Arabidopsis thaliana: one gene and its partners. The protein of the gene in region 3 purifies or fractionates together with the protein of the main gene of each other region. This does not show direct contact. Each region holds a gene or a part of one and is shown on either strand. Other genes may lie near its edges.

The links. Proteins that work in one complex are often made in the same cells at the same time.
Region 1: the proteins of TRS120 (region 3) and SEC8 purify together in Arabidopsis thaliana (affinity purification with mass spectrometry, with the first as the bait; one study listed by BioGRID). This does not show direct contact.
Region 2: the proteins of TRS120 (region 3) and SEC6 purify together in Arabidopsis thaliana (affinity purification with western blotting; one study listed by BioGRID). This does not show direct contact.

The regions. Positions count from the first base shown.
Region 1 is NC_003074.8:3,225,999-3,230,914, forward strand, and holds the start of SEC8 (subunit of exocyst complex 8), read right to left. Parts: upstream 3,037-4,916; 5' UTR 2,762-3,036; intron 2,438-2,761; 5' UTR 2,359-2,437; coding exon 2,317-2,358; intron 2,016-2,316; coding exon 1,803-2,015; intron 1,510-1,802; coding exon 1,336-1,509; intron 1,103-1,335; coding exon 998-1,102; intron 775-997; coding exon 665-774; intron 519-664; coding exon 339-518; intron 1-338. Other genes in the region: FLD (protein FLOWERING locus D-like protein), read left to right, coding at 3,139-4,900. UniProt on the Arabidopsis thaliana protein: Component of the exocyst complex involved in the docking of exocytic vesicles with fusion sites on the plasma membrane during regulated or polarized secretion. Involved in polarized cell growth and organ morphogenesis.
Region 2 is NC_003070.9:27,007,825-27,015,599, reverse strand, and holds the start of SEC6 (SEC6), read right to left. Parts: upstream 6,037-7,775; 5' UTR 5,726-6,036; intron 5,631-5,725; 5' UTR 5,579-5,630; coding exon 5,450-5,578; intron 5,257-5,449; coding exon 5,218-5,256; intron 5,132-5,217; coding exon 5,043-5,131; intron 4,956-5,042; coding exon 4,865-4,955; intron 4,695-4,864; coding exon 4,605-4,694; intron 4,500-4,604; coding exon 4,429-4,499; intron 4,178-4,428; coding exon 4,085-4,177; intron 3,731-4,084; coding exon 3,572-3,730; intron 3,246-3,571; coding exon 3,138-3,245; intron 2,942-3,137; coding exon 2,806-2,941; intron 2,713-2,805; coding exon 2,668-2,712; intron 2,329-2,667; coding exon 2,273-2,328; intron 2,164-2,272; coding exon 2,055-2,163; intron 1,727-2,054; coding exon 1,586-1,726; intron 1,486-1,585; coding exon 1,372-1,485; coding exon of another isoform or gene 1,306-1,371; intron 965-1,305; coding exon 881-964; intron 795-880; coding exon 708-794; intron 531-707; coding exon 486-530; and 3 more. Other genes in the region: AT1G71810 (Protein kinase superfamily protein), read left to right, coding at 7,636-7,775. UniProt on the Arabidopsis thaliana protein: Component of the exocyst complex involved in the docking of exocytic vesicles with fusion sites on the plasma membrane during regulated or polarized secretion. Involved in polarized cell growth and organ morphogenesis.
Region 3 is NC_003076.8:3,493,673-3,501,211, forward strand, and holds TRS120 (TRS120), read left to right. Parts: upstream 1-1,522; 5' UTR 1,523-1,659; coding exon 1,660-2,070; intron 2,071-2,262; coding exon 2,263-2,469; intron 2,470-2,576; coding exon 2,577-2,759; intron 2,760-2,942; coding exon 2,943-3,052; intron 3,053-3,125; coding exon 3,126-3,185; intron 3,186-3,662; coding exon 3,663-3,951; intron 3,952-4,112; coding exon 4,113-4,402; intron 4,403-4,704; coding exon 4,705-5,585; intron 5,586-5,696; coding exon 5,697-6,602; intron 6,603-6,714; coding exon 6,715-6,938; 3' UTR 6,939-7,273; downstream 7,274-7,539. Other genes in the region: ALF4 (aberrant root formation protein), read right to left, coding at 77-243, 568-640, 730-879, 978-1,157, 1,314-1,478. UniProt on the Arabidopsis thaliana protein: Specific subunit of the TRAPP II complex, a highly conserved vesicle tethering complex that is required for the proper transport of proteins in post-Golgi trafficking pathways to the growing cell plate in mitotic active cells.

The sequences.
Region 1 (4,916 bases), on a different chromosome or scaffold from region 3:
AAAACATGTAAAGTATATTTCGTAAAACTAGAACAAAGGTTGTGTGGCTAGACAAAGCAACTTCTGCAATAATCAGTTTACAGTATAGTTTCTTTTATCAACAAATATTCTAATGAAAGAATTTACAAGGAGAATCTCCACATAATGATTAGGAAATGATGCAAGTATATTAATCTCAGTATTAATAATAGAGCAAGTGAAAGCCTCTATGGAGAACTACAACTAAACAGACAGTTACTAAACATTGATCACTCAGAATAAAGTTAACAATATACACGAAAAAATGTTCCTAATATCTCATGAAGAATACACTGAAGGGAAAGGATGCTATATCATACCTTTCATCATTAGAAGCGGTTCTATATGAACCATTTGTGAGCCCTCTAACACCAAACTGACTATCACCTTTCAGTGTCCGTGTTCTACGTGACAGTGGTTGTGAGCTCATTCGACTAGCTGCAACAGCTGTTGTCGTTGGTACTTCATCATCTCTTTCATATATGCTTGACGCAACTGAACTGCAGCATAAACATGGTCAAGAACAGAAGATTGTGCACTGAAAGAAGTGATGAGGCAAACAATCAAACAAGCAGGCCACTAGATCCGAGGATAAAAAGCAGCACAGCTTCTGAAATTTGCTTATAGAATTGCAAAAGAAACCTACCTGTATTCACCTCTATTGTATAGGTGTGCATGCAAATCATCTAGAATTTTGAAGAAAAGGGCTCCCCGCAACTTAGTTAGCTCAGATCTGACATCTTGAAGAGCACCAACCTAGGTTAACGTACCAAAATATCTATGAGTTCAACATACAAGTGAACAGTAGATCCCTTGGACAGAGATATTTCTAAAGTCCCAACAGAACTTCGATGATCCCAGATCCTCTTCAATGGATTTATTACAAAACAATCCTAGAGATCAAATTGATAAATGAATGGGAAGACCCACAATATTCCCATGACAATGCATTTGTTAAAATTGGCAGTAAGTAAATTACCGTTTGAAGCCCCTCACGCTCCAGCATTAGAGACGACTGGAGATACACTTGAATAGCAGCGTAAAACTGCTTATCAGCAATGAGCTTCTCAATACGAGATGGAACCTGTTCAAGGTTTCAAGAGGCAGGGTCACCATTTTCACATCAGAAAAGCAGTTTCTTTTAAGTAAGCCAAAATGAAAAAAAAGTAAGTACATATATCGGGAGCATATCAACAAAAGTAACATCAGAGATACAGAGATGATGAATGAAGTATGAAACTTGATAGCAGCGCAGATACATAGCAAGCACTGTAAACTCAAAATAAACAAAGAAATGTTACAGCTAATCCAACCAACCTTGGCAATGCCCTCGATTTGATCCAAAAGTGAGATGATGTGCCGCAATGTAACAGAACGGTACCACAACTGATGTAATTGTTTATTGCGTGCACCCAAGCTCTGTTTCGCTTCTGCTAAATCGTGCTTCAAGTCGCCTATCTTTTCAGTGGACTCACTGAATAATCGCAAGATCTGATGAGGAATACATTGAAAGCAGAGCAAAAGAAGAGAGATAATCAAAACCAAGGTGTTCCACAAATGAAATTTTAGTAGATAAATTACAACAGAGGGTACTATTCCAAAAAGAAAATTCTACATGCAGAAACCATAGAAGCAGCCATAGTTAGTATCAATATTAGATTTGTTGTATCTTTGGCAAATGAAGCGTGCAATATGGAAGTCAATAAGCGGTAACAGAGGATGCTACTTTAGAATAACAGAACGAACTATCCAATAAAAAGGAAGAGCTAACAGATATTAGAAACCTGTGAATAGTTTTGAATGGCCTTGTTGAAACCACCATGATAAGCATGGACAACTTCATCAACAACCTCCTCGACAACATCACTTTGTTCCTTTAATATATGAATGTCAGCTTCACGGTCTTTTGATGTCAAAATATGAACAACATGTGGTAAAGAGTCAAATCGTGCAGCAGCCCAGCTCTCATCTATTCTTGCCAGCTCCTCCCTAAGGTACTGCAATAACCATCAACACTCAGGCACATATACACACACATGTACTCCAAAACCAAATACATAACCAAATCAAGAGTGGTGGTAATTCAGTCAATTTCTTGTCTAGCCATCGTACAACTTCTTACAATTAACTCCAACCCCGAAATGAAGAGATATAAGAAAAAGAACCGTTATACTTAAATGTCCCTATAAATCCCCAAGGGGATGAAAGAACACCATAGAACAACACAATTCCTCATAAGCCCAAACTTCAGGTTTTCCAACTCAAGTAGGAGTCTACGAGTGAGGAAAGTGAACTTACAGTTTTATCCGAGGGTACAGGCAAACCATTGAAAATCCCCATGCTGGCGAACTCACTCCGATTGGCTTATTAGAGCCGAAATGAATGTTCCTCAGCACATTCCAATCAAAGCTCTCTGTAGCTGAAAGCAAAAGTCCAAAACCCCAAGACGAGTTAAACACATACACGAGCTAGAGACCGCGATATTACGCAGTTCAGTACACACAAAGAAGCTAGTGGACCCAACGGCGAACATAGAATTCAAGTCAGGAGAACAAAATGTGAACAATTCAATCATTACTCCTTCAGCGAAAGATCTGAGAATCATAATTCGAATTACATGAAAAATTCAACTGATGACGAGACTATCGGCGTATACAAAAATTAATCAAACACTACGTCTGGAAGTAGATCTAGAGAGAAAAGAATATCGAGAAACAAATTCGATTTCAGCTGCGAATCTTACCTGGGATACGAATCCACGCTAGAATCTGATCAACACGTTCCCGATCACGAAGAGAAAAGCTAAATCTCGAGAAAATGGAGAAGACGAAGAAGAAAAGGTAAAAATCTATACGATACGCGTTTGTTTTATTCTCCTTCCAATTTCTTCTTCTAATTTTCCAGACTTTTCTTCTCTCTCTATTTTTTTTTCTTTTTCTGTTTTACTTTTTCCTTGTTTTCTGTTTTTTCCCAAATAATAATTTAAAAATCGTGGGAAACTAAATCATCAAAAAGCTCTTCAATTAAATAAAGATAAAGTTAATCCAGTAACCAAACAATCCTTTTCTTCTTCCTCTTCTCATCGATCACTCTCCTGCAGTTTCTACGGCGACGGAAACGATGAATCCACCGGATAATTATGTTCCGTCTGTTTCTCACTCTCAATTCTCTACTCCTCCTCCTCCACAGTCGAGCTCAAACACCAATACCGAAACAAGTTTGAATCCATTTCCGAATTCGATCTCTACCTCAATCTCTAACCCTAGTTTTGAGCAGATGGTCTCATTCTCCGCACCAAAGAAACGAAGGAGAGGACGTTCTCAGCGCTCAATGTCTTCGCTTAATTCCCTTCCCGTCCCTAACGTAGGTCTTCTTCCTGGTAACAGTAATTTCGTGTCATCTTCAGCTTCTTCTTCCGGTAGATTTAACGTAGAGGTCGTCAATGGATCAAACCAGACTGTGAAAAGTTATCCTGGGATTGGTGATGAGATCATTACGATTAACAAGGAAGCTACCACTGAAGCTTTGCTTGCTCTCACTGCTGGGTTTCCTGCTGATTCGCTTACCGAGGAAGAGATTGAATTCGGTGTGGTGCCTATTGTTGGAGGCATTGAACAAGTCAATTACATTTTGATTAGGAACCACATTATATCCAAATGGCGAGAAAATATATCTAGTTGGGTCACAAAGGAGATGTTTCTTAATTCGATTCCTAAACATTGTAGTAGTCTCTTAGATTCGGCTTATAATTACTTGGTTACACATGGATATATCAATTTTGGAATAGCACAGGCGATTAAAGATAAGTTTCCTGCTCAGTCAAGCAAGTCTAGTGTGATTATAGTTGGTGCTGGTTTATCTGGGTTGGCTGCAGCTAGGCAACTGATGAGGTTTGGCTTCAAAGTCACGGTTTTGGAGGGTAGGAAACGACCCGGTGGACGGGTTTATACCAAAAAGATGGAAGCTAATAGGGTAGGTGCTGCAGCGGATTTAGGTGGGAGTGTTTTGACTGGAACATTAGGAAATCCTTTAGGGATTATAGCGAGACAGCTTGGTTCTTCTCTCTATAAGGTACGAGACAAGTGTCCTCTTTATAGGGTGGATGGTAAGCCGGTTGATCCAGATGTGGATATAAAGGTTGAGGTAGCGTTTAACCAGCTTCTAGACAAGGCAAGTAAACTTAGGCAGTTGATGGGTGATGTTTCCATGGATGTCTCCCTTGGGGCAGCACTCGAGACATTCAGGCAGGTTTCTGGGAATGATGTGGCCACCGAGGAGATGGGTTTGTTTAACTGGCATCTTGCTAACTTGGAGTATGCAAATGCGGGCCTAGTATCAAAGCTTTCTCTTGCATTCTGGGATCAAGATGACCCATATGATATGGGTGGAGATCACTGCTTTCTGCCTGGAGGAAATGGAAGGCTGGTTCAGGCTTTGGCTGAAAATGTACCAATATTATATGAGAAGACCGTCCAAACAATCAGATATGGTTCAAATGGTGTCAAGGTAACTGCTGGAAATCAAGTGTATGAGGGTGATATGGTGCTGTGTACAGTTCCCCTTGGTGTCCTTAAGAACGGATCCATCAAATTTGTTCCCGAATTACCTCAGAGAAAGCTTGATTGTATAAAGAGATTAGGTTTTGGGTTACTGAATAAAGTTGCAATGCTCTTTCCGTATGTATTTTGGAGCACAGATCTCGATACCTTTGGGCATCTTACTGAGGATCCGAACTATCGAGGTGAATTCTTTCTGTTCTATAGCTACGCACCGGTTGCTGGTGGTGCTCTCTTGATCGCGTTGGTTGCGGGAGAAGCTGCTCATAAGTTTGAGACAATGCCACCCACTGACGCAGTGACTCGTGTTCTTCATATTCTTAGGGGTAATAGATTTCACTA
Region 2 (7,775 bases), on a different chromosome or scaffold from region 3:
AGTTGGACAGAAGACCATATCTTAATTCTGAAATGATTATGTTATAAAGAACACAACTATTACATTATATAACATGTAGAAAATCAATGCATATGAGAATAGTTTTATCTATTAAAAATCAATGGAAACCAGTAGCAACAGTATCAAGGAGGTGACAACGACTCGACTGCCTCTATTCACACATTAGTAAAGCTAATAGATTAGTTCTTCAGAATAGTAGATACCTTTCTGGTAAAGCTTGACAAGTAATTCCTGAACTCCTGGATCCTCAAAGATAACGCGAACTGTTTGATGCACTGCTTCCTGAAATCAAAGGACCAGATGGGACTTGTGTAAAATCCAACATAAATTTTAACTTTAAAGATCGCAAGATCAAGTTGAAATTTCATTTCAACAGCCATCTGGGCAACTGTAAGGCCATAAATCGAGATGCAAAAACTATATTTGGATTGAAGACCAGGGAGAAAAAGGAATCTTTGACGAACCTTAGCCACCTCCAAGAAACCTTTGCAAGTGTCTTCAAAATTCACCTGACAGAAACACCACATTAGAGAAGCATTTTATTAGTATGCAAACAAGAGTGTATGTGCACATAGACGTGGAGTATAGTGGGACTGAGAGTGGGCATGATGCAGTGGAATTTGACATATCCAAACAAAATAATCAATTGCAACGAAATTGAGCTCAGAAACTGGCAGCTGGATTACCTGCTCTGCATAATTTTGTGGAAGAGCTTCTAAAGTGCTATTACTTAACTCCATGGCAAGGTCGTAGCAGCGAAGGTTGTTGTTTATCTGTAGTCAATATTAACATATAAATATTCGTCTGAAAATGGGAGAAAGAAATAGTGTCATCAAAAGAGTCATATCTTTTGACATACCATAGCGCATAGAGGTTCCAGACCAATATCAGATGCAGGTTCATCAACTCTCTTCTTTTCAGCTGCTTGGAAATCAATCATAACCTGAAGTAATTCACAATATGAATCAAAATTTAGAACATGCACAATGCTACAAAAGTTACGAAATTTAAGAAGTATAAAAGTTAGACACAATGAAAGAGGGGGGAAAATAGAAAAGAGAAAAAAGGGGGTAAACGGAATTCAACGATTTTGGGTGAGATATGAAAAAAAAAGCTGGGAATGGGTAAAGTCTCCAACATTAACTTTCACGAGTCTTAGAAGAAAGCAAAGAACGATTTGAAATTTCTGAGTATATATAGTAAATAAATAGCCTGAGTAAGGAAATGGAATATTTTCAGTTCATAGCCGAACAAAGAAATGTCTTTGCAACCTCTTTAACTTGCCTGAATAATAGCTAAAGCAATCCTGTACAACATAACATCCGTGCTGTTATCTCTGACAATTTGCACTTGCTCTCCAAGTATTCTGAATAAATCTACAGCAGCCGGTGTATATAATTTTCCTTCCTCAGTTTTTTTAGGTGGTTGCACCTTATCCGCCTCTAGGATATTCATGTACCATTTCTGCAACCAAAGAATTGGCAACAAAAGTTTAAGCAAAAAGAATTATAAAAATTTTTAACGTCAAAAACTAGCAGAGTAGGTCAAACGTGTATGTCATTACCTTCGTTGTAGCTTGCATTCTTTCAACATATGCATTCATTAGAGGATCCATTGAACCGCTCTCAGAACACACTTGAGCTAGTGAATCATCAACACCAAGTGCAATCAAGTTTTCTTGGTACTCTACCACCCAACCAGTCACCTAGCAAGATCGAAGAGAGAAAGAAAAGATACATCACTCTCTAAAGGATACCTAATGCACAGAGACAAGGTAAAAAACGAATGAGGCATTTTGATGAGGCAACACAAAGACAGTCACATAATATTAGTACCCCCTCTTATAATTTCCCATGGTGTTCCCTGTCAAATAACTCGGACTAGCTTGACATTTACTTAAATATCATGCATGGTTGATTAAAAATGTCCTTGATATTCAGTCAGAAAACACAGAGCCAAAGCACCAAAAGCAGTATCTGCAAAGTTTGAGTTGCGACACAACATGGGAGAACTAAGAATCATGCTTTACATACCTTTAAAATCTCTATATTTGTCAGATCGTTTGCTCTGTCACTGAGCAATCTGAGCATTTGTATGAATCTCTCGGTATACAGGTTCACCATAAGCTGAAATATCTCGTATCTGCCAGCAAAGAAGATTGCTAAGGAACCCTTTTTCACTTGGGGAACAGAATAAATTTTAAGCTGTAATCTTTCATTGTCCACTTGAGGAAAACGAGATAGGAACAAACCTTGGAGGAAAACAAGGAGCCACATAGTCATAAATATCTCCAAGTTCCTCTCCAATCTAGTTGTGGAACACCATAAAAAGAAAGTGAAAACCCAGTTGATAAATATATATTTGTGAAAGATAACAGAAGAAAACGAGGTTGACATCAATCATTATGGAACAGGAACAGTAATATAAGACGGTCAGGCCAATTTGGAACTTTTGTATCAGAACAGTAACATACTACTAGTTCATCAACCATATTTATTAAGAACCAAAAAAAAAACTAATTCAGTCAACTAAAGGTGATCTACTGAGAAACAAAAATATATTAGATAGTTGAATATAATTTCATAAACTGCAGAAAAGAAAAAATGAAGAAAAGTGTATGAAAGCAAGGGAAACAGTCGCACAAACCATTCTAGCTTCTTCCAAAGCTGCTTTTAGATCTTCAAAGACAAGCTGTTCAATAGTTCAGTGTTAGGATGACCACACAGAGAAACACATTACTTGTAGCTATGCCATCAAATGAAATTTTCAAAAAGAAAGTCCCACCGTCAAAAGCCTGTTGAATCGATCTTCAACCGCCTTCCGAATTTGCTCGTAGCATTTGTCCTTGTAGCCTTTCCCTTGGACTTTTAATTTCTGTTGAGCAAGACCCTTTGACGACGCTGACGTTGTAGTAGATTTCCTGGATTCAACAGAATAAATATAGGACATGTCACAAATGATTATGGGGACTTTAATAAAATTCCATTGCTTTTCAGGACATTAAATCAATGCAAAATATAGCTTAGTCAAACCCCTAGTAAAAAAGTGAAAGATATTTTGAATAACAGATAAGACAACAAATCAAGACAAATACGAACAAAAAATATCAGACTCACTTGCCAGGCCTTCGAGGATTTGCTACAGATGCCATCGCACCTTCTCCCTCAGCCTCTGCTGCTTCTTCAGCAAGCTGTTGGTCTAGAATTTCTTGCATCTCAACAACCCTTTGATAGAATAAACCATTGAAAGTTAGTACCAGTTCTAGTTAACTAGTTCACTTTAAATTAGTCTACTCATTTTCTTCTGGATAGGAGACTTTGTGTTTAAGAAACTTCTAATGCCAAAATAAAATCCATGATATTGCAATGCATGTTGCATTAAAGGAAGTAAAAAGAAACAATTTGCTTGTCTAAAAATGATTGTCACAGTAACACAATGACTTCGCTGTCCTACTAAACCAGTTTGAACTGATCTTGATGCTAATCACCAGAAAATAGGTATACACTATCTTCCTTGCTAATTAAAATAGATTTGTTTGCAACAAAATTACTGAAACGTAATAATTTGGGAATATATGCCATAGACAAAGGTAAAGAATGTCTCTGGTGGGGGATCATACCTCAAAGCACGAACCAGTGTTTGCGGACTGCAGAACAAAGATACATCAGTAAGTTTAAGATAAACCAAAAGGATATGTAAGATTTGATATCTTAGCAGAATTAAGAGCTTAACAACAGGAAAATAGCTTATTTCAACATGGAGCAAAGTCTAAACGTGTACTTAATCCCCAAGGTCTGGCTAAGAACATAAAACAGAGAACAGAGCATTACATAAACTATGTATTATCATATAAATGCTCATATATAGCTACAGAATAAAGGGTACAGTCCAACTATGTCCATCTCATCTTTTGACATTGCTTGCATCCTTGATCTAACTTCCTAGCCTTACTCTTATAAAAAACCAGCAAGAATCATAGTTCTAAAATAAGGCAGTAGAAATAATTAAAAAAAATGGAATTACACGGAGAAGTTGAGCATAATCATATATTTACTCAAAATACCTTTCTTTAGAAAGTTTGTAATAGTTGGAAACATGACCCCATAGTGTCTTCTCGAATGTTTCCCATGTTCTATCAACATCTTCAAAATACTCCCTGAACCCATCAAAACAACTCTTTAGAAGTTGGTATGCATGCTCATGTAAAAAGAAAAGACAGTCCAGAGGCGGGATCAAATCATCATATGCACTACCAAAAGAGTAACAGCTCTACCTACTGCTCATTACTTTAGCATAGAGACCTATTTTCTTTCATAGCACACCAGTAACTCTTGAATTAAAGCTTTCGGGCTCACTTCATGTAAGTACAAAAAGCAAAGAAAGGAAACGAGTGGAATATATACAAACCTCAGCCTCCCAACCTCCTCTCCAGCAGCTGCTAATGCAAATCTTCGTTTACCATCAAGTGCTGTTAATCTCTATGGAAGAAAAACAGAATATTATGTCTTACACCAAACGTTCTTTTTTTCAAAGTGATGCAGTCAGAAATGCCTGGAATCCATGGGAAGAGGAACTCATGCTACCTCATAAGTGTTAACGATTTCTTTATCATCACTCAAAGAATCCCTAGCCGCAGCAGCTTCAACAGAAATTGACATCATACCTTCTACATCCTTGAAAAAAGAGAATGAGGTAAAAATAAGTTGACAAAAACTTGGAAAGCATTTAAACATCTGAGACGACCATGCAGAGCTATATATATTTGCGTTCAAGAATAAGTTAGAAGGACAACACTGAACCAAATACTGTAAGCAATACAATCAGTGCTCATCGGCATATCTACCTTTAGAGTTTTGTTTAGATTATTCCTGGCGTTACTCAGCAGCTTTATTTGGTCATGATTGTCAATCAAAGTTTGACATTCCTGACAAAGCCTGTGGCACAAGAAGAGAAGTTAGAGGGAGAGAAATGCAAAAGTTGGTAACTCAGCTTCAAGAATCTCTAGTCAAGCAAAAACATACTTGTCGATAGAAATGAAATTATCCCGCAGTTCATAAATGGTTTTCTCAGATGATGAAAGTGACTCTAACCCAGCTTGAGCTTGTTCAACCTGAAGTTTGTCAACAGCTATTACTTAAGAACAACAAAAAAGTCGAAATACATTAAAGTACAAAGAAGGCCAGATTAAAGCTGTACCTGCTCAGCAACCATAGTACTGAGCTGTGCATCATTTGCCTGATTGAAACAGCAAGCATCACTAGTCAGGTCATTAAAAATTTCCAGAAAATCGAAAATAAAAGATAACAATAGCATATCAAAACCTAACAACTCAAATCTAGCATTGCTCAGGAATCACTAATACTCAGTGCAAATGATACTTCAAAAGCCAATTCAGTTCCAATTGCAATTCAAAAGCAAGATGTCAAACCTGTTGACGAGCGATGTAATCGGCCTTGATTGAAGAAATAGACTGCAAAAGTTCAGGTAAGGGTAAGAGCTTCGCCACTTCTCGCACAGCCGCTTCCTTCGCTTCCACACCAAGATCTTCGACCATCATCTTCGCTAAATCACCTTATTTACGAACTCCGATCCTAAATTGAAGGCTACCTCTGCAAAGTTATTCAAAATTCCAGCACAATTACGATAACGCAGAGGAGAATCAAGAGATCTGGAAACAGAAACGTAGAGGAAAAATGGACGCAACCGAATAAGAAGTCATTGAGCAAATATCGAGAGCCAAATGTGCGATTCTCCAACTTCAATTACTTCGTCGTCCTCTTATCTTCTTCCTTCGCTGATTCTGAAGATCCTGGAAACAGTGATGTTGGACGCAGATCAGCTGGGAAGAGAAGCAACGATTAAATTTCTGGAACGAGTCTCATCTATCGTCTCGCGACTCTAATGGAAAGTTCGGAAACGCTGAAATTTTCCGTCTCGCCGGTTTTGATTTTTCTTTTTCTTTTTTGCCAGCTGTTGATGCAAACCTATTTTTTTTTTTTTTTTTTTTGCAAACGCTAACGCTAATTCGTTGAGCAAAACGCAAATCTTAACCCCATGCTCGGGTTCGTGTTATTTTTTATTTTTTGTTATATGTTTAATCATTTGAAATGTCACTAAAATATCATCGATTTTAAATCTTACCATAACGTATCGAATTCGAAAATATTAGTCGTAGGGGTCTGATTGGTTATCTAGCGATGTTACATACGTTTGATATTAATGGGGTTGCATATGTTTTGATAAGTTTATAATTTGACGACATGCTTTGCAAAACTTGGATGTGATATATTAGTTGTGATATCATCAAAGTTTTGCACATAACGTAGTACATGTAATATATAAGAAATAAATCGATGAGATGGATGGAATATTGAACTCGACGAAAAAGAAAAACAAAGCCTAAGAAAATGACAGCTTCCAAGTACAAACTATTTGAAAAGAAATTTGTAAAATCTCATAAATATCAATAGAATAGAGTTACAATATTTTGAAACAAATAATTATTCATCTAGAGTCCGTTTAGCGTAGAGGATAAACGGACGCACAATTTTCGACAATACATTTATATAAATATAATCAGTAGCAAAATGATAATAGTTAGGCATTAGAGTCACTAGGTAGTCTAGGTTCACAACATGGACATACCATGCGACGTAGGTAATGGCCATACAAGCACGAAGCAAGAGCTACCATAAGGACGCCCGATACCACGCCGATGTATTCTGTCAAATGATACATGTCCATCTTCTTGTTCACCACACCACCAATCTCTAATCTTTCTTAACCTTTTTTTTCGTGTACTGATTATATTTATATACATGTATCGTCGACACTAACTTTACATTTTTGTAAATATATCAGCAACATTTGGTAAGTTTACATTTTTTCATTAAGAACATACTAGAGAAAATTCGAAAGTTTACATTTAGGAAAAAATCGAAAATATATTATGTTCGAATTCTTTCTAAAATACTCCACAAACTGATATTATGATATTTACTAATTACTACTACTAGTAAAAATATATTTTAAGATATGTGTATTTCATTATTCAGCTTGTTTCAGATTTTGATGGTTTACATAAAAAGAAGAGTCATTGGTATCTAAAAGGAATAAGATCTACAGAGTTATATATCAATTACCAAATATGTGGATGTGATATATTCTTTATCTCTTTTATATATACACTAAATTTCTTTTTCTTCAAAGGAAGCATCCAAGGACAGATAAATAAACAGACAATCTACAAACTTTTTCATATGTTTTTCTTAAGTTTTAAACGTAATTATTATGAATAGTTTGGAATGATACAGTTTTAGTCACTAACCAAAAAATATGATTAGTAGCTAAATAAAGTACATTTATATGACATATAAATACTTAAAAAACGTACAAAAAGATTGGTGCCATTTGTGTGACACAGAAAATCCCAGCAAATGTCGAGAGAGAGAGAAAGTATAAAGAATGTGACCGGCAAAAAAGAGATAAAACAGTAGAGAACCATATTATTTGCCATTTCTTAGAAGAATCCACTGCATGATATTCAAAATCTCACCAACAACCATTGGCGAAGAAGAAAAGAAAAAGAAGATAACTCTGTAGATTTTGAAAGAGATGCTTCGGCTTCCTTCTTCTATGCCAATCGTTTCTTTTCCCGCCAATCCCAATCTGCTGATTAATCCACAACCATCTTGGCCGTCGCGAAGAGGAAACTCCGCCGTTGTTGTCTCCGCTGCGTCTAGAGATGTAGATAG
Region 3 (7,539 bases):
ATATTCAAATTAGAGAATTTACACTTTGGGTAGTGATTTAGGGAATCCTAATTGCCAATTTATCAAACTTACAGACCAGTTTTGAAGAAACGTCTCGAATTGAAGAGGCAATGCCTAGAGCCTTATCAAATAAATCTTCAACTTGCACGTCTGTTTCCAATGAAATGTCCTTCAAAACGTTCAGGACAATTGGAACTGCAACCTTTAATTGCTCGTAGTGACGCCTCTGGATCAAAATAAATACTGAAACCAGGAAATTTGAATAACTTTTTACTGCTTCAGTTCACGAAGACTAAATTAATATCTTCAGTAACAAAACTAGTTAGGGATTCAAACACAAACTTTAAGATATTCATACTTAAGTACAATCAAAGCAAGAGTATTACTAAAATTGCAGGTGCCAAGCTAAAATTCACTTTCATGAGAGAAGTCTATAAATTTTAGGATATTCATACTTGTGTACAATCAAAGCAAGAGTATTACTAAAACTGCAGGTGCCAGGCTAAAATTCACTTTCATGAGAGGAGTCTATAAATATCTTGAAAACGAGAAATCTTCAACTGGTACCTTTAGAGAGCCCATGCAATAAAGGAGTAGAACAAGTGGAGGCTGAATGATAGCACCGTGCAGCATCGAGTGCCTGGTTCAGAGTCATAAGGTGATCAAAAAGAACTTGTAATCTTCTTATGCCAAATACCAAGAAGGAAAAAGAAATTCCAGATCAATTACCTCACAAAGAATTGAAAGCATATCCCGTGGATTGCATGCTTCCACAAACCGATCAACGATTTCCTCAACTAACTGTAAACATCTGCTTGATATGTCTGCAAACTTGGAAGTTACTTTTGGCAAGTGAAATGACAGTGCATCTATAACATCCTGTAATAAAATGAATCGGGGAACAAAATCATAAGCTTGGTTCTCTAAACAAAATCCTTCCGTTTGGCTTTGAAAGCGATTCGAAAACTGAAAAGTACCTGATCCATTTGAGGAGATGATAAAACTTTCAAAATTTCATCTAATACTTCTTCAATAACATCGTTCTCCAGTTCATTGTTAGCATCCAAAGCTACGTTCTCATACAAAGAATCCAAACAGCTGACAAGTTCTGTCACAAAACTCTCAAAGTCTTGAAATCCTCCGGCTTCTTCAACTGACTGAAAAATCACAAAATTAGCGGCGAATTTTTCATTCGAGCTCCAAAAATCACGAAACAGCTAAGTATTCATCGATCTCAAAGCATCTAGAAATTCCACCCAGAAAACAAATTACACAAACCCGAAACGAGGAGAAGAAGAAGAGAGAAAGCTTACACTGAAACACAAAGCTAAAAGTTCTCGTACACGACGCGAAGGAGAAGTAGTGACAGTAGTTGACTCGGAGCTCCCTTCAATGGACGATTCCATAACGCCAAAACTTTTCAATTTCGCCCAAGTTTCGTTCACAGTGAGAGTATTAATAATCGCGAATTTAACCATATCGTTTGGTTATATGAATAGAGTTTAACCCCGGATAGTCTAATTCTAACTAAGAATAGTTTAATACCTGTACCCAAACAGACCACGTTCTCTCTCTCAACACTTTCTCGTTTTCGTCTCCTTCAGATCCGGTGCACTCACGCTCACCGAAAGATCCTCACTCTCCTTCTCTGATCTCGCCATGGAACCTGACGTCAGTATCGAGACTTTGTCGATCATTCGGATCGCCGTCCTTCCGATCGGCACTATTCCGCCGACGCTTCTCCGGGACTACCACTCGATGCTGCTCCGTCATCACACGATCGCGCTCTCAGCTATTAGCTCTTTCTACACTGAACATCAGAAATCTCCATTCACGAATCAGCCGTGGGATTCCGGCTCTCTCCGGTTCAAATTTGTGCTTGGTGGTTCTCCTCCGAGTCCTTGGGAGGATTTTCAGTCTAATCGGAAGATGCTCGCCGTGATCGGCCTTTGCCACTGTCCCTCGTCCCCTGATCTTGATTCTGTCACTGAAAAATTCAATGTCGCTTGTAAGAGTTATTCCTCGGCTCTTGTCCGGCGCTGCTTCGCTTTCTCCCCTGGCGATTCGCAAGTAAGTATATTAGTTTCCATGCTTCTTATCTGCTATGGCATTCTTAGCTCGATGCCGATGGATCTAGCTAGCTTTTTTCTGATTTGTCTCTACAGTTGATAGTGATGTCCATTTTTTGTACCAGTGATTTAGTTACTTGCTTATGGATGCGTTAGATTGACGATTTACTGAACAATGTACTGTCTTTTGCAGCTTGAAGATGGAGACAAGAAGGGTGAAAATTTGATTTTGTTTCCTCCATCTGACAAGCAAACTCAGGAGTTTCATTTACAAACAATGATGCAAGACATTGCCGCTTCGCTGTTAATGGAATTTGAGAAGTGGGTTCTTCAGGCAGAATCTGCTGGCACAATTTTGAAGACGCCTTTGGATTCCCAAGCTAGTCTCAACTCAGAGGAGGTTTATGTCTAGGTGTCCTATAATTTGGTCTACGTTTCATTTCTTCCTCTGGAAGCTTATAACTTATTAGCATAGTCTTCTAGGCTCACTAGTTTTGTTTAATGCAGGTTATTAAGGCCAAAAAGCGTAGGCTGGGACGTGCACAAAAAACTATAGGAGACTATTCCTTGTTGGCTGGTTCACCTGTTGATGCCAATGCTCATTATTCTACTGCTCTGGAACTGGCCAGATTGACTGGAGATTACTTCTGGTATGCCGGTGCCTTGGAAGGCAGTGTTTGTGCCTTACTGGTAAGGCTTTATGCAAATATATCTCTAAATGCATTGTTCTTACATTTTTAATAGTATTATAGTCCAAAAACATGGATAGTGATGTGCTGTTTATCGAAAGTGCACTGATTATGAAATTGCTCTCATCTGTCCCTCTTTAATTAAGTTTGCAATCATCTTAGTTTTCCGTTTTCTTAATATTAGGTAGATCGGATGGGTCAACGTGATGTGGCTTTAGAAGATGAAGTTAGATATCGATACACTAATGTTATCTTGCACTACAGAAAGTCATTTATTCAAGAAATTGCTCAGAGGTAATTCTACCAACCTGTTTGGCTTTCTTCTTCGATAAACTTAAGTAATAGCAATCAATTCTCTTCCTTGCAGAGTTTCGCCCCTAAGCTTTGAACTCGAAGCTACCCTTAAGCTGGCCAGATTCCTTTGCAGGTATCATTGTATGCTCTCTATTTCTTTAAATTATCATGGTGTGGTTTCCTTTCTTGCCGTCTCCTGCTTAAGTTTAAGGTTGCTATGGTATTTTTGTCTAGTAGGAAGCTATATCGCTACTAAAATTTAAATATAAACTCATGGGATCTTGTGTGTGTGTGGCTTTGATCCTCTAAAACTATCTGCAACATTCAACTTATAATACCAATATATTGAGATTACTATTAAGTATTAAGTGGCCTAGTGGAGGATGGCTGTATGTTAATGTTTTGTGATTGATGGTGATGTTAGCTGGGAAAAGAATAATTATTACGTTTTGAAAAAGCTAAAATACATGGGTTTTCCGTTTAGTATGAAATGATACTCTCTGGTTGTGGCAGCTTTTATGTTTTTTTAACCTTCTGGTTGCATCCTCATTTTTTTCTTGGTATCTTTGATCTTAATCATTCTTACAATGTCATTTTATGTGTTGTGCAGGAGGGAACTGGCTAAGGAAGTAGTAGAGCTATTAACAAATGCAGCTGATGGTGCAAAGTCTTTAATTGATGCCAGTGATAGGCTCATATTATATGTTGAAGTAGCGCGTTTATTTGGAGCCCTTGGTTATCAACGGAAAGCAGCCTTCTTCTGTAGGCAGGTCGCCCAATTGTATTTGCAGCAAGACAATCGATTGGCTGCTATCAGTGCCATGCAAGTTCTCTCTATGACAACTGATGCATACAGAATTCAAAGTAGGGCATCCATGTCAAAAGTGTCGGTTAACAATGTGAGTTTGCCAGCATAGGCATTATTTTTCCTCTCTTGTGTTTGATTGAGCATGGTTTTCTGGAGTTTTTTTTGTTATCATCACTTTTCACTATCTTGGTATTTATCCATGTATCATACTTTGATAATATATTGTATCTTCTCTTGTGTTTGTTGGTAAAGGAAACTGGGCGCCTACCTGACGCTGGGAAAATGCATCATCATTCCATTGTCTCCCTGTTCGAGTCCCATTGGAGCACTTTGCAGATGGTTGTGCTTAGGGAGATACTCCTCTCTGCTGTTCGTGCTGGAGATCCCTTAGCTGCATGGAGTGCTGCAGCTAGGCTTCTGAGGTGGCATTATCCTCTAATTACACCTTCAGGTCAAAATGGACTTGCTAATTCCCTTGCAAATTCAGCGGATAGATTACCTTCTGGAACTCGCTGTGCTGACCCTGCCTTGCCTTTTGTAAGGTATGTTTATCAGCAGTCAACCTTTTTGCTCTCAGAGATGTTTTGCTTGTGCACTCTCACCATCATGAAACAACCTAACTTGGTCATGTTATATTTCCTAGCACTCTAAGTAGAGCAACGAGATCAGAAAAATAAGTAATAATCTCTTTTAATCCATCTCTTGGGCTTCATATATGCCCAATATGTGTTTATTTTCAGGAATGTGTTCCATGTTTGGTTCTTAGCTGACTCTGGCAAAACTGTGTATGTTTTGGCAAATTTTAATGGTTCTTCTAAGCATGATTATTTTAATGAAATTTCAGGCTATTCTCTTTCCCACTCCATTCCTCCCAAGTGGACATCGTAAAACGCAATCCAGCAAGAGAAGATTGGTGGACAGGCTCTGCTCCTTCTGGGCCATTTATTTACACTCCTTTCAGCAAAGGAGATGCCAACGAAAGTAGCAAGCAGGAATTGATTTGGGTGGTCGGTGAACCAGTTCAGGTCTTAGTGGAGTTAGCAAATCCTTGTTGCTTCGATTTGCGGATTGATAGTATTTATCTCTCAGCTCACTCGAGTAACTTTGATGCGTTTCCTGTCAGTGTGGACATTCCCCCTAACTCTGCAAAAGTGATCACATTATCTGGTATTCCAACAGCTGTAGGACCAGTGACAATTCCAGGCTGCACAGTTCACTGCTTTGGTGTAATCACTGAACATGTGTTCAGGGATGTTGACAATCTGCTTCTTGGAGCAGCACAAGGACTTGTATTTTCTGACCCTTTCAGATCCTGCGGATCTGCAAAGCTACGACATGTATTTGTTCCTAACATATCAGTTGCTCCTCCATTGCCCCTCCTTGTGGCTAATGTTGTGGGTGGTGATGGTGCAATTATTCTGTATGAAGGTGAAATTCGGGAGGTGTGTATAAATTTTGCAAATGCTGGCACAGTTCCAATAGTACAGGCACATGTCTCGCTCTCTGGAAAGAATCAGGATGCTGTTATCTCGATCGCAGATGAAGCTTTACAGTCTGCTCTTCCCTTGAAACCTGGGGCACAAGTGACTCTGCCTGTGACTTTAAAAGCTTGGCATGTGGGTCCAACTGATTCTGACAATACTATGAGCAGTGGCAGGAATGCTGCGGGTAACACAGGAAGACCAAAAGACGGAACCAGTCCATCATTGCTTATTCACTACGCAGGTATTCATTTCTTCCTTGACGTATGTTTCTATGTATCTTACTTTTTCAGTGCTTCATGTATCCTCACGATGACTAATTACTAAAAGCATTTTTGTATTCATATTTTTGCAGGGCCATTGTCTAACAATGGGGATTCCCAAGAAAAAGAATCTATCGTGCCACCGGGCAGACGGCTTGTTGTTCCCTTACAAATTTGTGTTTTGCAAGGTTTGTCGTTTGTGAAAGCTCGTTTGCTTTCCATGGAAATCCCTGCACATGTGAGTGACAACCTTCGGGATGAAGACATTGAAAGAGAGAGCAATGCAGACAGCCTTGTCAAGATCAATCCCTTTAGGGGAAGCTGGGGACTACGGTTTCTTGAACTTGAGTTATCTAACCCAACAGATGTTGTTTTTGAAATCAGCGTCTTCGTTCAGCTGGAAAACTCTGCCAAGGAAGATGATTCTTCACCAGTACAAGATTCTCCAGAGTATGAATACCCGAAAACAAGAATCGACCGGGACTATTCTGCTAGGGTACTGATTCCATTGGAGCATTTTAAGCTACCGGTTCTTGATGGTTCATTCTTCACAAAGGACCCTCCACCTGGTAGCCCTTCAAGTAGTAGAAATCCGAGCTTCTCAGAGAAGAACACGAAAGCTGAGATAAACACATTGATCAAGAATCTCATCTCTAAGATAAAAGTTCGGTGGCAATCAGGAAGGAACAGCTCAGGAGAACTGGACATCAAGGATGCAATTCAGACAGCTCTCCAGACGACTGTGATGGATGTTTTGCTCCCAGATCCGCTAACATTTGGTTTCAGACTGGTCAGAAACGGTCTGGAGAAGGATCCTGAGACAAAGGCTGAGTCCCCATTTTCAAAGGGATCTGTTCTGTCACATGAAGTCACTCCTATGGAGGTTCTGGTCCGCAATAACACTAGCGAAGCTATCAAGTTGAATCTAAGTGTTACTTGCAGAGATGTAGCTGGACAGAACTGCACTGAAGGAGCTGATGCCACTGTCCTCTGGGCTGGTAAGATTCCTGTCACTAAGTAATAAATATTTGTGTAACATAGATATTTGCTGCCATTATAGCCGTGTGTATTACAATGAGATATGTAAAAGGTGGCTTATACTTTTGTCAGGTGCTCTTAGTGGAATCTCAATGGAAGTAGCGCCGCTGCAAGAAGCAAGACACTGTTTCTCACTCTTCTTCCTTGTTCCAGGAGAGTACACGATGGTAGCAGCTGCTGTAATTGAAGACGCTAACAATGTACTCAGAGCACGAGCAGGAACTGCTTCTCCAAACGAACCCATCTTCTGTCGTGGACCGCCTTTTCATGTCTGTGTAGCTGGAGGTGCACTGTGATTCGTTAACCAAATCAGGTCTTGGCATTATAATTTATACTCTGTTTTTTGCTCTGTTAGTTGATTTCTCGAGAATCAATTATAAGTTCCGGGTTTAAGTATGGGTCTTTATAAATATCTCTATAATTGCTTGTGTGTTTGTCTCTGTATTTACCTTGGGTCATCTTATGACCACCATGCATAGACTATGCTTTTTTGGAATTTTACGGCCTCGGTTCTGAGACTACTTTTCTCAAAGTAAGTGTTTGTACTCTGCTCAGTGGGATCACTTTCAGTGATAAAAAGAATAAAACGATTATAGCATAATATTAGCAAAAATAAAACTATTTAACCATGAATTCCTTCCCTATTGTGTATTGAAAAGGTCCACAGAGCAATGACATAACTTTCACCGTCAAATAAATACCATTCATTGATATAATCAAACAAGGCAGTGAAGTTTCCCCAAAGCTCGTATGTCGTGTATTAGTGGCCTTACGGATTAATCAATAACTAAAAAATAATACAATAATTTACTTTAGAAATAGTTACGATTATTAATTTAAAGCAAAAAAAAACTGACACAAAGTATCTTTGGCTAAAGAGGATTGTCCTATTCTATT